Schizosaccharomyces pombe: one gene and its partner. The gene in region 1 interacts genetically with each later gene. Each region holds a gene or a part of one and is shown in the gene's direction. Other genes may lie near its edges.

Evidence for each region.
Region 2: mutations in mad3 (region 1) and dad4 together harm fitness more than expected from each alone (negative genetic interaction), as found in Schizosaccharomyces pombe (one large-scale study listed by BioGRID).

What each region holds. Positions count from the first base shown.
Region 1 is NC_003421.2:994,402-1,000,997, forward strand, and holds mad3 (mitotic spindle checkpoint protein Mad3), read left to right. Parts: upstream 1-3,014; 5' UTR 3,015-3,286; coding exon 3,287-4,219; 3' UTR 4,220-4,438; downstream 4,439-6,596. Other genes in the region: Golgi UDP-galactose transmembrane transporter Gms1, read right to left, coding at 1-132, 308-403; vcx1 (CaCA proton/calcium exchanger), read left to right, coding at 1,121-1,485, 1,542-2,415; SUA5/yciO/yrdC family protein Sua5, read right to left, coding at 4,541-5,767. UniProt on the Schizosaccharomyces pombe protein: Component of the spindle assembly checkpoint which is a feedback control that prevents cells with incompletely assembled spindles from leaving mitosis.
Region 2 is NC_003423.3:4,002,998-4,008,099, reverse strand, and holds dad4 (DASH complex subunit Dad4), read left to right. Parts: upstream 1-1,717; 5' UTR 1,718-1,765; coding exon 1,766-1,870; intron 1,871-1,898; exon of another isoform or gene 1,899-1,929; coding exon 1,930-2,043; 3' UTR 2,044-2,071; coding exon of another isoform or gene 2,072-2,159; 3' UTR 2,160-2,234; coding exon of another isoform or gene 2,235-2,296; 3' UTR 2,297-2,460; coding exon of another isoform or gene 2,461-2,712; 3' UTR 2,713-2,817; coding exon of another isoform or gene 2,818-2,928; 3' UTR 2,929-2,974; downstream 2,975-5,102. Other genes in the region: cleavage and polyadenylation specificity factor complex subunit Ctf1, read left to right, coding at 73-103, 146-1,095, 1,133-1,243; SNARE protein Vti1, read right to left, coding at 2,072-2,159, 2,235-2,296, 2,461-2,712, 2,818-2,928, 2,975-3,080, 3,118-3,143; ESCRT II complex subunit Vps36, read right to left, coding at 3,385-4,788.

The sequences.
Region 1 (6,596 bases):
GTTTTTACGGAACTGATGATAGCCAACCGAAAAGCAAACAACTAGTTTAATAAGTTCGTTTAAAAGGACGGCAGTTGATGTAAAGTAACGTTTATCATCATATCCAGGCATGATTCGAGAATAGTTAAGTGTCTATTTAACCATTAGCATGTACAATAGGAAAAACAGAAATATATTTCTACATAAAAACAGCGAAGCTTTTCTAAAAAAAAGTGGGAGACATGCGTGTTTCTATAAGAAGATTGACCATATACTCCACAAACCAGAGAAATTCACAAGACTTCCTAAAAAAACCGCGACTACTTACCAAAATCAATGCACTATTTTGCACTGTTAAAAGTACCAATGCAATGTATTTCATTGGAATACCTTTCCATTTGACATCGTCGCCCTTGACAGCCATTTTCTCAATATTACTGGTATTAGACTAGACACTTGTAAAGATGTGAAGTGCTCGGACTTAATGAAATATTAATATAAGCAAAAGGTAGTTAACGAATTAAGAATTTGCAAGAAAAATTAAAAACCTCCAATACTTAATACGCTCAATCCGGTTAATAGTAAAACACGTTCGTGTTGGCTGCTGGTACGACAAGAACTAACTGCCCAAGCCTTTATAGTATCCAACTGATTTACGGAGCACGAGGTAAAATCGATAAAGGGTCATTATGAACACCAACAAATTTGGAAGATAGCCACGTTAAGCTAAGTTTTGCATTTGCCACGAACATGTGACAAAGCGGGTTTGTGCATTCGAACGCGTTGAGTACATACATGCTGATATCCGACTGCAAGCGTTAAACGATTCTTGTTTTCTCATATTTCTGTATTTTCTTTAAAGTGCATTAATTTTTTAGAAATATAGGGTAAAAATTCTACGATTTTGATTGCTTCTGGAGTCTTTATTTGCTTTCAGGATTTACAGGGATATCAGATTGTTATAACGGAATTCCCCTTGATAGCCGAAGGTTAGATCATTTGACTGTTATAGTTGGTAAGTTAAAGTTTTATGAATCCTCAAATCTTTGGCTTATACATAGAGGTATTCGGTTTGCAAAATATCGTATAAACGGGTCCTATAAGTAGCCGCCGAACTTGACATTAGTTGAATTGGACTAACATGATTGAGAGATTAAAGATTGCTAAGAACAGACTTGAAGCTATGAATTCTTTTAATTTTCCCGCCCAGGATAGACATGAACGAGCCCCTCTCTTGGGATCAGAGTATGACCACTCTATGGCTCGTCAGTTGTCGCTTTTAAACGTGGTCGGCATGACCAAATCTGTTTTGATGTCTAGCTACTTTAACTTGATGTTGGTATTTGTTCCGATCGGCTTAATTGCAGGATGGTTTGAATGGAACGCTAAATCTGTTTTCATACTTAACATGCTTGCTATTATCCCCCTTGCATCCTTGCTTAGCTTTGCTACTGAACAACTCTCTATAATTAGCGGACCAACATTGGGAGCATTGTTGAATGCTAGGTAAGATTCCTACTTTATCGTCTTCTTTTGTTATTTTATTAACACGTTGTGTACAGTTTTGGAAATGCCATCGAGCTCATTGTAGGCGTTCTTGCTTTGAAAAGAGGAGAGCTCCGCATCGTTCAATCGTCCCTTCTCGGATCAATATTATCCAACTTGCTTCTTGTTTTTGGAATGTGTCTCGTAACTACTGGTATTCGTCGTGAAATTACCACATTTAATATCACTGTTGCACAAACTATGATTGCAATGCTTGCTTTATCTACTGCTACCATATTGATTCCTGCGACTTTCCATTACAGCCTTCCCGACAACGCTAATAGCGAAAATGCGCTTCTCCATGTCTCTCGTGGAACTGCTGTTATTGTACTCATCGTCTATGTTTTACTTTTAGTTTTCCAATTAAAGACTCATAAGCATGTCTGTCATGATCCCAGTGAAGTGGAAGAAGAAACTGAACCTCGAATTTTAGGCCTTCGTTCATCCATTGCCATGCTTGCTATCGTCACGGTTTTTGTTTCTCTTTGCGCAGACTATTTAGTAGGTTCGATAGACCAATTGGTTGAGGAAGTTAACATTTCAAAAACTTTCGTTGGTTTGGTCATCCTTCCTGTTGTAGGAAATGCTGCCGAACATGTTACTGCAATCGTGGTATCTTACCGAGGACAAATGGATTTGGCTTTGGGTGTTGCTATTGGTTCCAGTATTCAGATTGCTTTGTTTTTAGCTCCCTTCTTGGTAATCGTCGGATGGATCATCTCCCAACCTTTAACACTTTACTTTGAATCATTGGAAACAGTTATTCTATTTGTGTCTGTTTTCTTGGTTAATTACTTGATACAAGATGGTGCTACTCATTGGCTTGAAGGTGTTCAATTACTTGCTTTGTATGCGATTGTTGTTCTCGCCTTTTTCTACTACCCTCAATAAATTTTGTCGTTCCCTCGCTAGTTCCTTATTATGTCTACTCTTATGTGCTTGATATACTCTCTTGATTTCTTTGTGTTTTACTTTACGAAACTATCATACCGAACTTATTGATTTCTTATTTTTTTATACTAGATTTTTTTTTTTTTTGGTTTCTGTTACAAGGATATTTTGCAGACTTATTTTTTAGTATGCAAGTGTTAAATTATGCAGAAATCTCCCATTTTCGCAATGACTACACAACTCTAAATTTCTATTGCAGGTCAAGCCAATATCTGCTTGTTTACAGTAGCTTTTTAAGTCGCTCATTCTTCAGTCTCAGTTTCATGTGTCTTACCAGCTATGAAAATAGAAAATTAATTTTTGAATAAACTCTTGTAAATCGTTGTTTATAAATCTTCATTTTGTTTATTTTTATTAGTTGTTTTGTAGGTTGTGTTTTACATGATTTAATAATACAAGCCATTAGTATGTGAAGTGGTTAATTTTAATTCTTCTTCTGTTTCTGTATATTCGAAGAAACAGAAAAAACTTCTTATCTCTTTCATTGGACTCTTCCAGGCGTAAGTATGATACCCTCCCCCAGCGTCAAGTTGGCACTTACCTTCTAATTTACGCACAATCTTTCATACATTCCTACTCTTGCTCTTTGAGTGTTGACACTTTTAATTTTATACAAAAGCTTTCAGTACACCTTCTATTAAACTATATACTGGCTATTTTCGTTCTTTCAATAGAATTGTACTTGTCTAAATAAACTTTCCAATACTACTACACTCACATCTCCTTCTTTGTTTTATTTATTTTCATTTAGTGGAAGGTATAGGGTTCTCTAGAAAAGGTTTACTAATTTTTTGGAAGACATTGACTACAAATGGAACCATTAGATGCTGGCAAGAACTGGGTGCATATGGATGTCATTGAGCAGTCCAAGGAAAACATAGAGCCTAGAAAAGCTGGTCATTCAGCTTCTGCACTTGCAAAATCTTCGTCGCGAAACCACACCGAAAAAGAAGTTGCTGGTCTGCAAAAAGAAAGGATGGGCCATGAACGAAAAATAGAGACGAGCGAGTCTCTTGATGATCCACTACAAGTTTGGATCGATTATATTAAATGGACCTTGGATAATTTCCCTCAAGGTGAAACAAAAACTAGTGGACTGGTAACATTGTTAGAAAGGTGTACTCGAGAATTCGTACGAAATCCGCTTTATAAAGATGATGTTCGGTATTTACGAATATGGATGCAATATGTAAACTATATAGACGAACCGGTTGAATTATTTTCTTTCTTGGCACATCATCATATTGGACAGGAGTCCTCGATTTTTTATGAGGAATACGCAAATTATTTCGAGTCTAGGGGATTGTTTCAAAAAGCTGACGAAGTTTATCAGAAAGGAAAAAGAATGAAGGCTAAGCCATTTTTGAGATTTCAGCAAAAGTATCAGCAATTTACTCACCGTTGGTTGGAATTTGCCCCACAATCATTCTCTTCAAATACAAATTCGGTTAATCCTTTACAAACGACATTTGAGTCAACAAATATCCAGGAAATATCCCAGTCTAGGACTAAAATTTCTAAACCTAAATTTAAATTTTCTGTTTATTCAGATGCGGATGGTTCTGGAAAGGATGGCCAACCTGGGACCTGGCAAACTCTTGGTACAGTTGATCAAAGGCGTAAAGAAAACAACATATCGGCTACTTCTTGGGTAGGCGAAAAGTTGCCTTTGAAATCTCCAAGAAAATTGGACCCTCTTGGGAAATTTCAAGTTCATTGTGATGAGGAAGTATCGAAAGAATAACCGATAAAGAAAAGATTTAAAGTATTGGCGTTATTAGATTAACAACTATTGTACATCATGACTCCCGGAATAAGAAATAGGTTGAAACATGCGAATTTTAAGGGTTATACGAACTTAACATAAAGCATCTTATTTATACTACGATTTGCAGCTTTTTTTTATATTTTACTCTCAAATTAATTATAGTCAGCCATAAGTTAATGAATATGATATAAATAATTCTTTTATAGACAATTTATCAAAATAATAAACAGATAGCTCGATAAGTAATTACACCTCTATACAAGTAAAGCTAAGACCCCTTAGCTATAAATATTTTAACTAATGAGAAGGCCCCTCAAAAACCACAGAAGCAGCTTTGCCCAAACGATTCATGATAGCTAGCCCTTCATTTTCCTCGGAGACACCTTCAACCAAAACAAAATCAACTCCCTGCAGATCCAAATCTCGCAATTGAGCGAATAAATTCTTTGTAATTTCATGTCCATCCCTTCCCATATGCAAAAATACAAACGGACAGTGAGAAGGGAATGACTCTTCGTTCCAACGTTTACTACATAAAACACCAATCTTCTGCTTTTCCTTAGTGATTCCCTGCTCAGATAAATACTTTTCAAAAACACCGTATGCATCAGATTCTGTGTAATTGACAAAAAGTAGCACTTTGGCAGTTGGAGAGTAGTGTCTGTATTTCATACCAGGAGTTTGAGGGATGAAATCTGTTTCCATATCACTTTTTTTAGCTACGAATACTTTTGTTCGCTCCCAGGCCCCTCCAGAGCTTTGAATTTCTTCTAAACTTATGCCTCCTGGCCGTAAAATTACGGGAGGATCACAAAGTCCATTTACAACTGTACTCTCCACACCAACACCGCATGCTCCCCCATCTAAAATTAAAGGAATTTTACCTTGTAAATCATTGTAAACGTGCTTAGCTAACGTAGGAGATGGCCTTGTTGAAGCATTAGCCGATGGTGCAGCTAACGGCGAATCTGAAATAGAAATAAGGGCAAGCGCAACAGGATGTTGAGGCATGCGAACAGCAAACGTTTTTTGTCCTGCTGTCACAATTGGTGAGACCGGGGGATTAGCCTCGTCAACAACTGGCAGCAAAATTGAGAGTGGACCAGGCCAAAACTTTTTAATCAACGGTAAATAAACTTTTGGAATAATCTCCTCTGAGTCATGTGCTTGATTTTTTACTTCTGACTTTGCTTTAGGATATGCACTCAACAGCAATCTACGTAGCTGATCCAGAGAAGCAACATGTACAATCAAAGGGTTATCAGCAGGGCGGTTCTTTGCTTTGTATATTGACAAGACTGCTTCAGTCCTTCGGGCATCAGCACCGAGACCGTAAACTGTTTCGGTAGGAAAAGCAACTGGATAATCGGTGTTTCTCAATATATTCGCGGCGTTCTCTAATGCAGAACGAGTTTCTGAGGGAGGTATGGACACCCTTGTGTGTTCAAAAGGATGTTCCGAATCATTACTAGGCTTTTCAAAAGAGATAAGGCGAGTATCAACTGTTTGAATTTTTGTTTCCATTGTCAAGGAAGAAAACCTAAGTTTCTGGCTTACTGAGGCCAATTTTGCTATAAAATTGTAATACTTCAGCTTGTTTTATGTTAATTGATTTAGAAAGAAGAAGCTAAATGCTGATAGAGAGAAGGGTGAAGTTGATTGCTATTATTAAGTTGAAGCGCATCATTGCTGGTTGTCGACTCTTGCAAAGTAAGAGAAATAATTGTTGAAGATATATTTAAAAACTCAAGATTATTTTACTCTAAATACGAAAATAAAATCTCGTTTGAGAAATTTTACTAGAGTAGTGATTGACGACGATCTTTACTTAAAATTTGAATTTAGCTACAGAGGTTGTAAAAAAGAAATGTAAGCGCGACAATGATTTCACGAATGAAAAGAACCCACTTACTGTTTTTATTTGTGGGTTTTTTTTTATCGTTTCTGTTATTTGGCAGGGTAAGAATATATTCTTCCAATACATCCCTTTTGACTAAGCATTTAGTTAATTTGCTAATGTCCAATGCATCAATCTAAATTATATAGCTGAATGTTTAACAAACAAATTTGACTTTGAATTAATCGAGACTGATTGTGAACTTCTATAAACATTCGATCATACTAGATTTTTCAAGCTACAATTTTACCATAATCTATTTCATAGTAAATGGCCAGAAAATTTTTGGAAAACTAACGTACCCAAGATGAATTATAAGGAATTTTTATTTGGGCGTGCAAGGAATGGTCGAAAGAATAAGCATAAACATTATATTTACATGAGATTATAGACATGAACTTCACATGATCAAAGAAGAACGAGTTTCATTCCTTTGTCATTATTGTTACAATATAA
Region 2 (5,102 bases), on another chromosome or scaffold:
GATTTAAGTAGTAGTAGTAGTAGTAGCAGTACGTTGGTTGAATGGGCAAAACCGAAAGACGCGACTACCAGCATGTCGATGACAGCCGGGAATGTCGTATTTGGTAATAATTCTTTAAATATTCGGTTTTGCTAATCTAATTTAGTTGGTAACATTCCATATGATGTTTCGGAACAGCAAATGACTGAAATCTTTAATCAAGTTGGACCAGTAAAGACTTTCAAACTTGTACTTGATCCGGAAACAGGTAGTGGGAAGGGTTATGGGTTTTGTGAGTTTTTTGATAGTGAGACTACCGCTATGGCTGTACGAAAGTTAAATAATTCCGAATTAGGACCTCGTAAGATTCGTGTCGAGTTTCCATCAAATGATCCCAGAAGGAATCAAAGTTATGAATATACGGAGCGTACTGATAGATACATGGAACAGCAAAATGCTCATGAAAGTTCTTATAATTCCCGTTTTATTCCTCCTGTTTTGCATTCAACATCTTCCCTGCCTGCTTCACAAGGAGGTGGGATGCCAAGTCCTGCTATTTATTCGTCGTCAATGGCTACTAATCTTAATAAAAATATAAATTCTACTTCTGTTCCTGCTTATAATTTTCACAACAGTATGACCTCCGACTTTGATTCTGCCAGTCAACCCCATACAGATGCATACAATGCAAGAACCTTTCAGTATAATAAATCTTCACAAAACAAAGGGGATTACACTTCCGGGACTTCTATATCGAATCCGACTTCTATCCCATTGGCCCCGTCTGTCGTTCAGGTACTATCTACCTTCTCAGCTCAGGAACTTCTCAATATGTTGTCCAAACTTCAGACTGTAGTTCATATAGCACCAGAAGAGGCACGACGACTTCTAATTGCTAATCCTGCTTTACCATACGCCGCCTTTCAAGCTATGTTGCTGATGAACTTAGTTGACGCAAATGTCTTACAACAAGTAGTAGTCGCAGTGAAGAATAAAAACATGCATCAACCAGCTTCAGCAACTTCCTCTCCTCCTTCTGTTCCCCAAAAAATACCTTCTAGTAACCATAAAAGTCAACAAGCGAATGGTTCAGATCAGGGCAATGAAGGGAAGCGGGTACGTTTTTTTTTTTTTTTTTGCACTAACAAAACAGATGGCCCTCATACAACAATTGTTGGCTCTTACCCCAGAGCAAATTAACGCATTACCTCCTGCACAAAGGGATCAAATTCTTAGCATTCGTCGGCAGCATTTTCGACAGTAAGTCTAATTTTAGTAATATCAAGAGATTAAATATTAGCATTTGACCAAGTACTTAAATTTGGTGTGCAAGATAATTTATTTACAACACTATAAACCATATCCTAGCACTGATACCTTTTCATACTACACACTTCTTTATACTATTCGGATGTTTTGCTTCTCATAAATATTTGTTTCTATACGCGTTATGGAGGGCTATTTCTTGGATCCTTTATTCAATATCCTTTTATAAAAATTTACTCAATCAATATTTCATATTAAAATTTATTATTTTTTATATTTTAAACTGCCCTTTTGATCGTAAATATATTATAAAAATGTAGGTGGTAACATCAACTGATACTTCTCAAATAAATATGCAACTCATAAATTCCCAAAAAGTTCAATTTCTTAAAAAAAATTTAGATCACAGGTTTAAAATTGTAGTTCAATTTTTCCAACTACGAAGTGTCAGCACTGGCTCATGCAAGCTTCCAAGTACAGACTACATAATTACAGTTTAGGAAATTGAAAACCATCGAAAATGAATAATCCTATGGAAGAACAGCAAAGCGCATTATTAGGAAGGATCATAAGTAATGTAGAAAAGCTGAATGAAAGTATTACAAGACTCAATCATTCATTACAGGTAAGATTACGACGTCAAATATTTGTGTACATATCAACTTTCCGCTGACATTCTTAAAGCTAATTAATATGTCTAATATGAATGTTGAGCTAGCTAGTCAAATGTGGGCGAATTATGCAAGAAACGTAAAATTCCACTTGGAAGAGACCCATACGCTTAAAGATCCCATCTAAAGTTATATGATGTTCTTTAATATTTGTGCTAACGAAATTTGCTATAAAGCACAAGCAAAATTAATATAACAAGGATTGCAATTATTGCTGTCGTGAAAAATCTGTTCATGGCAAGTCTTTAAAATGAGTTAGTATAAAAGATCATTACATGACGATTCATATCACTATAATAATGTCTATCTGTGTCCTACCTTCTTGCCATTGTCTTCAGAGTTCTTAAACTTCGATCAAGGTGTCCAGACGTATCTCCAAGCTAATTTGGTTAACAAATCTCAAAGAAATTTATACATAGCATAAAAGAAAACTATATTTTTAAACCATGGAGCTAATAAGCTTGGCTAAGATATGCGTATAAATCGCGCATTTTATCTTATCAATCATAGTGATTCATTTATCTATTTTGCAATAATTACTTACCATCTCTAAAGAATGCTCCAATTGATTTCTTTGACCATGAAGATCACGAAGAATGCTAGCACCAATGCCTTCAGTCTCATTCGCAATCCGTTGTGATTCAAGAAGACGCTGTGAAGATTGCTCAAGTCTATTTGTTCCTTGTAACAAACGAGTTCTTTGGTCATAATCTTGATCACTTGCAATATAATCACCGGATGTTTCATCCCTATTTCCAAAAAGGGCTTTCCTATCTGATTTGCCAATTTCTTCCTTCTAAACGAGAAAATTGTTAGTATGAATTTGGTAAATAAAAGTAGATTGTCTCATAGTAATTTCTGTAAAGCTTCAAAAGAAGAATGTTCGATATAGCTAACTTACCAGGTGTCTACGCCACTCCTCCAAAGTTGAACGATAACTACGAATTCTTCCATTTACGAGACCTCTTTCAGAAGTAGGGATACCGGTAATTTCAATTTCCATTTGACCAATCTGCAAGTTAGCCACTTTTTTAAAAACACAAATTATTCCAACATACTACTTCATCAATTTCATTTAAAAGTCTCTGACATGATTGAATAACAGAGTTCTCACCACTTTTACTTAAATCATTAAGTTTTTCTTCGATATCTGCTCGAAGCAAGCTAATTATTAGTAAACTTGTAATGGTATTAGACATACCGATATTCTTGCTCGTACGTCTCCATATTTAACAATTATTAATATTGATATATTAGATTTCTTGAAACTATCGTGTAAACAGTTTCTCAAATGAATTAAAAATAAAATAGGTGTAGGTTAAGATTAAATGGTTACGTTGGGAATCGAATACCCATAACAGGTAGTCATATTAATTAAGGCGTGTGTAGAGAGGAATCTACTAAAGCGAAAGAAAAATACAATGTTAAAAGGAATGAATATTAATTAGATAGTGTACAGTTATTATTCCTATGATTCATCAAACCATTTAGTCAATTCTTCTGATAATTCGTCAAATTCGTTTTTCCAGTATAGTAAGCTAGAACCAGATTCTTCATAAACATCACGTACAATGTAACCGTCCATCTCAGCTTGATAAAGTCTTTCTAACGTTACACCAATGGACCAATGCAACCTCATTGCACATTTCAAAGCCGTAGTGCTAGGATTCATAACTTCCAATATAGCGGACAAAAGTTTTCCTGAATGATTAGAAGTTTTTAATTGAAAAAGGATAAGCCCAGAGTTCATTTTGGACGTTGTTATACCAACCTCCATGGAATCTATTAGTTCACAAGCCTTCACAAATCTGGTCGGAGGAATCAGGTTTGCTTTTCTTGACCGATTATAGATGGCCCAAGCCTGGGTCATGGTAACCGTATCGGTATCAGCTTTTAACCTTGTGCGTAAAACTTCTGAGATACTTTTACATAGTTCAATATCATACAATCGAGAATTAGCCGAAACAGGAACATTATCTAAATGATTTCCTCGTAACACTCCTAACTGATTCGATTTGTTTAAAAGCTGCTGTACCTTGTCAGACTGTTGAGTGCCGGTCAGCCCATCCATCTTTTCAGCAAATTGGTCAGCCAGAGACATAGTATCTTTCGCTAAAGAAAAAAAAGCATCTAAATCTTGAAACGCATGTACTAAGGTACGTCCATTTTTGGCTAATTGCATCTCATGAGATTGCTCAAGATCATGAATACCACCCATTCGCAAAGACTTTTCAAGGATGGCCTTCCTCAGAACTTTAGTATCATATTTATTCGAGTATCTTTGTTTTTCTATTTCATCTGTTTCAGATTTGATAGCTTCGTAAAACTTGGATGAACCCGAGCCTCTAAACGAGAGTTGTATAAGCTGGTTTCTATCGACATTTTTTAATTGATTGCCGCAAATTTCACAAGTATTCAGATCCGGATAATTTTGAAAAGTACACGCGGTGCATAATCCTTGAGAAAAACGCGCATCTGATTTCGGCTTTATAATAGTAAATCGGTTAGCAACTCCACAGTTTCTACAAGGATTAATGGGATCACCCACATTGATAAATGTACAAATTTTGCAAGCCCATGACTTTTCCACATGTCGCAGAGAAAGGCGAATTTTTGGGGAGGAGCGAAAATACCTAGAGGTATGCTGTACATCTCTTATATCGGAGATTTTAATTTTTAATGAATTCTTTTTAGGATCTACTGAATCTACGTAGAAGATGTGTTTTTTTGTCAAATATAATGTTCCATTATTATGACGAAAACTTTTCTCATCTCCGAAGTATAAACCTACCTGGTCTTGAACTAGCAAAATTTCTTCTGAAGGATCCAAAACCGGTAGATTAGAAGGGGTTGTTTCTAAATAAAAGGCCATATTAGAAGGAGAGATTAACCAAAATGATAATTGTCAAGTGAATTAAAACTTATATAACATGTCATGTGCCTTGGTTAACTAGTCGAGACCAACAATTGATTTGAGATAATCTGTGAGTACGACTTTCGCTTTATTTAGCTACCTTTAAAAAAAATATTTTTGGATGACAGCTGTGAATGTCGATATATAAATAACATAAATGAAGCCTGTCAAAAGCTCGATTTAATATGTTACAATAAAAAAATCAAACCGTAGTCTTAATAAAAAACAACCCAAGGATCACAAACTAGCGATAAAAGATGCAACAGTGCCAG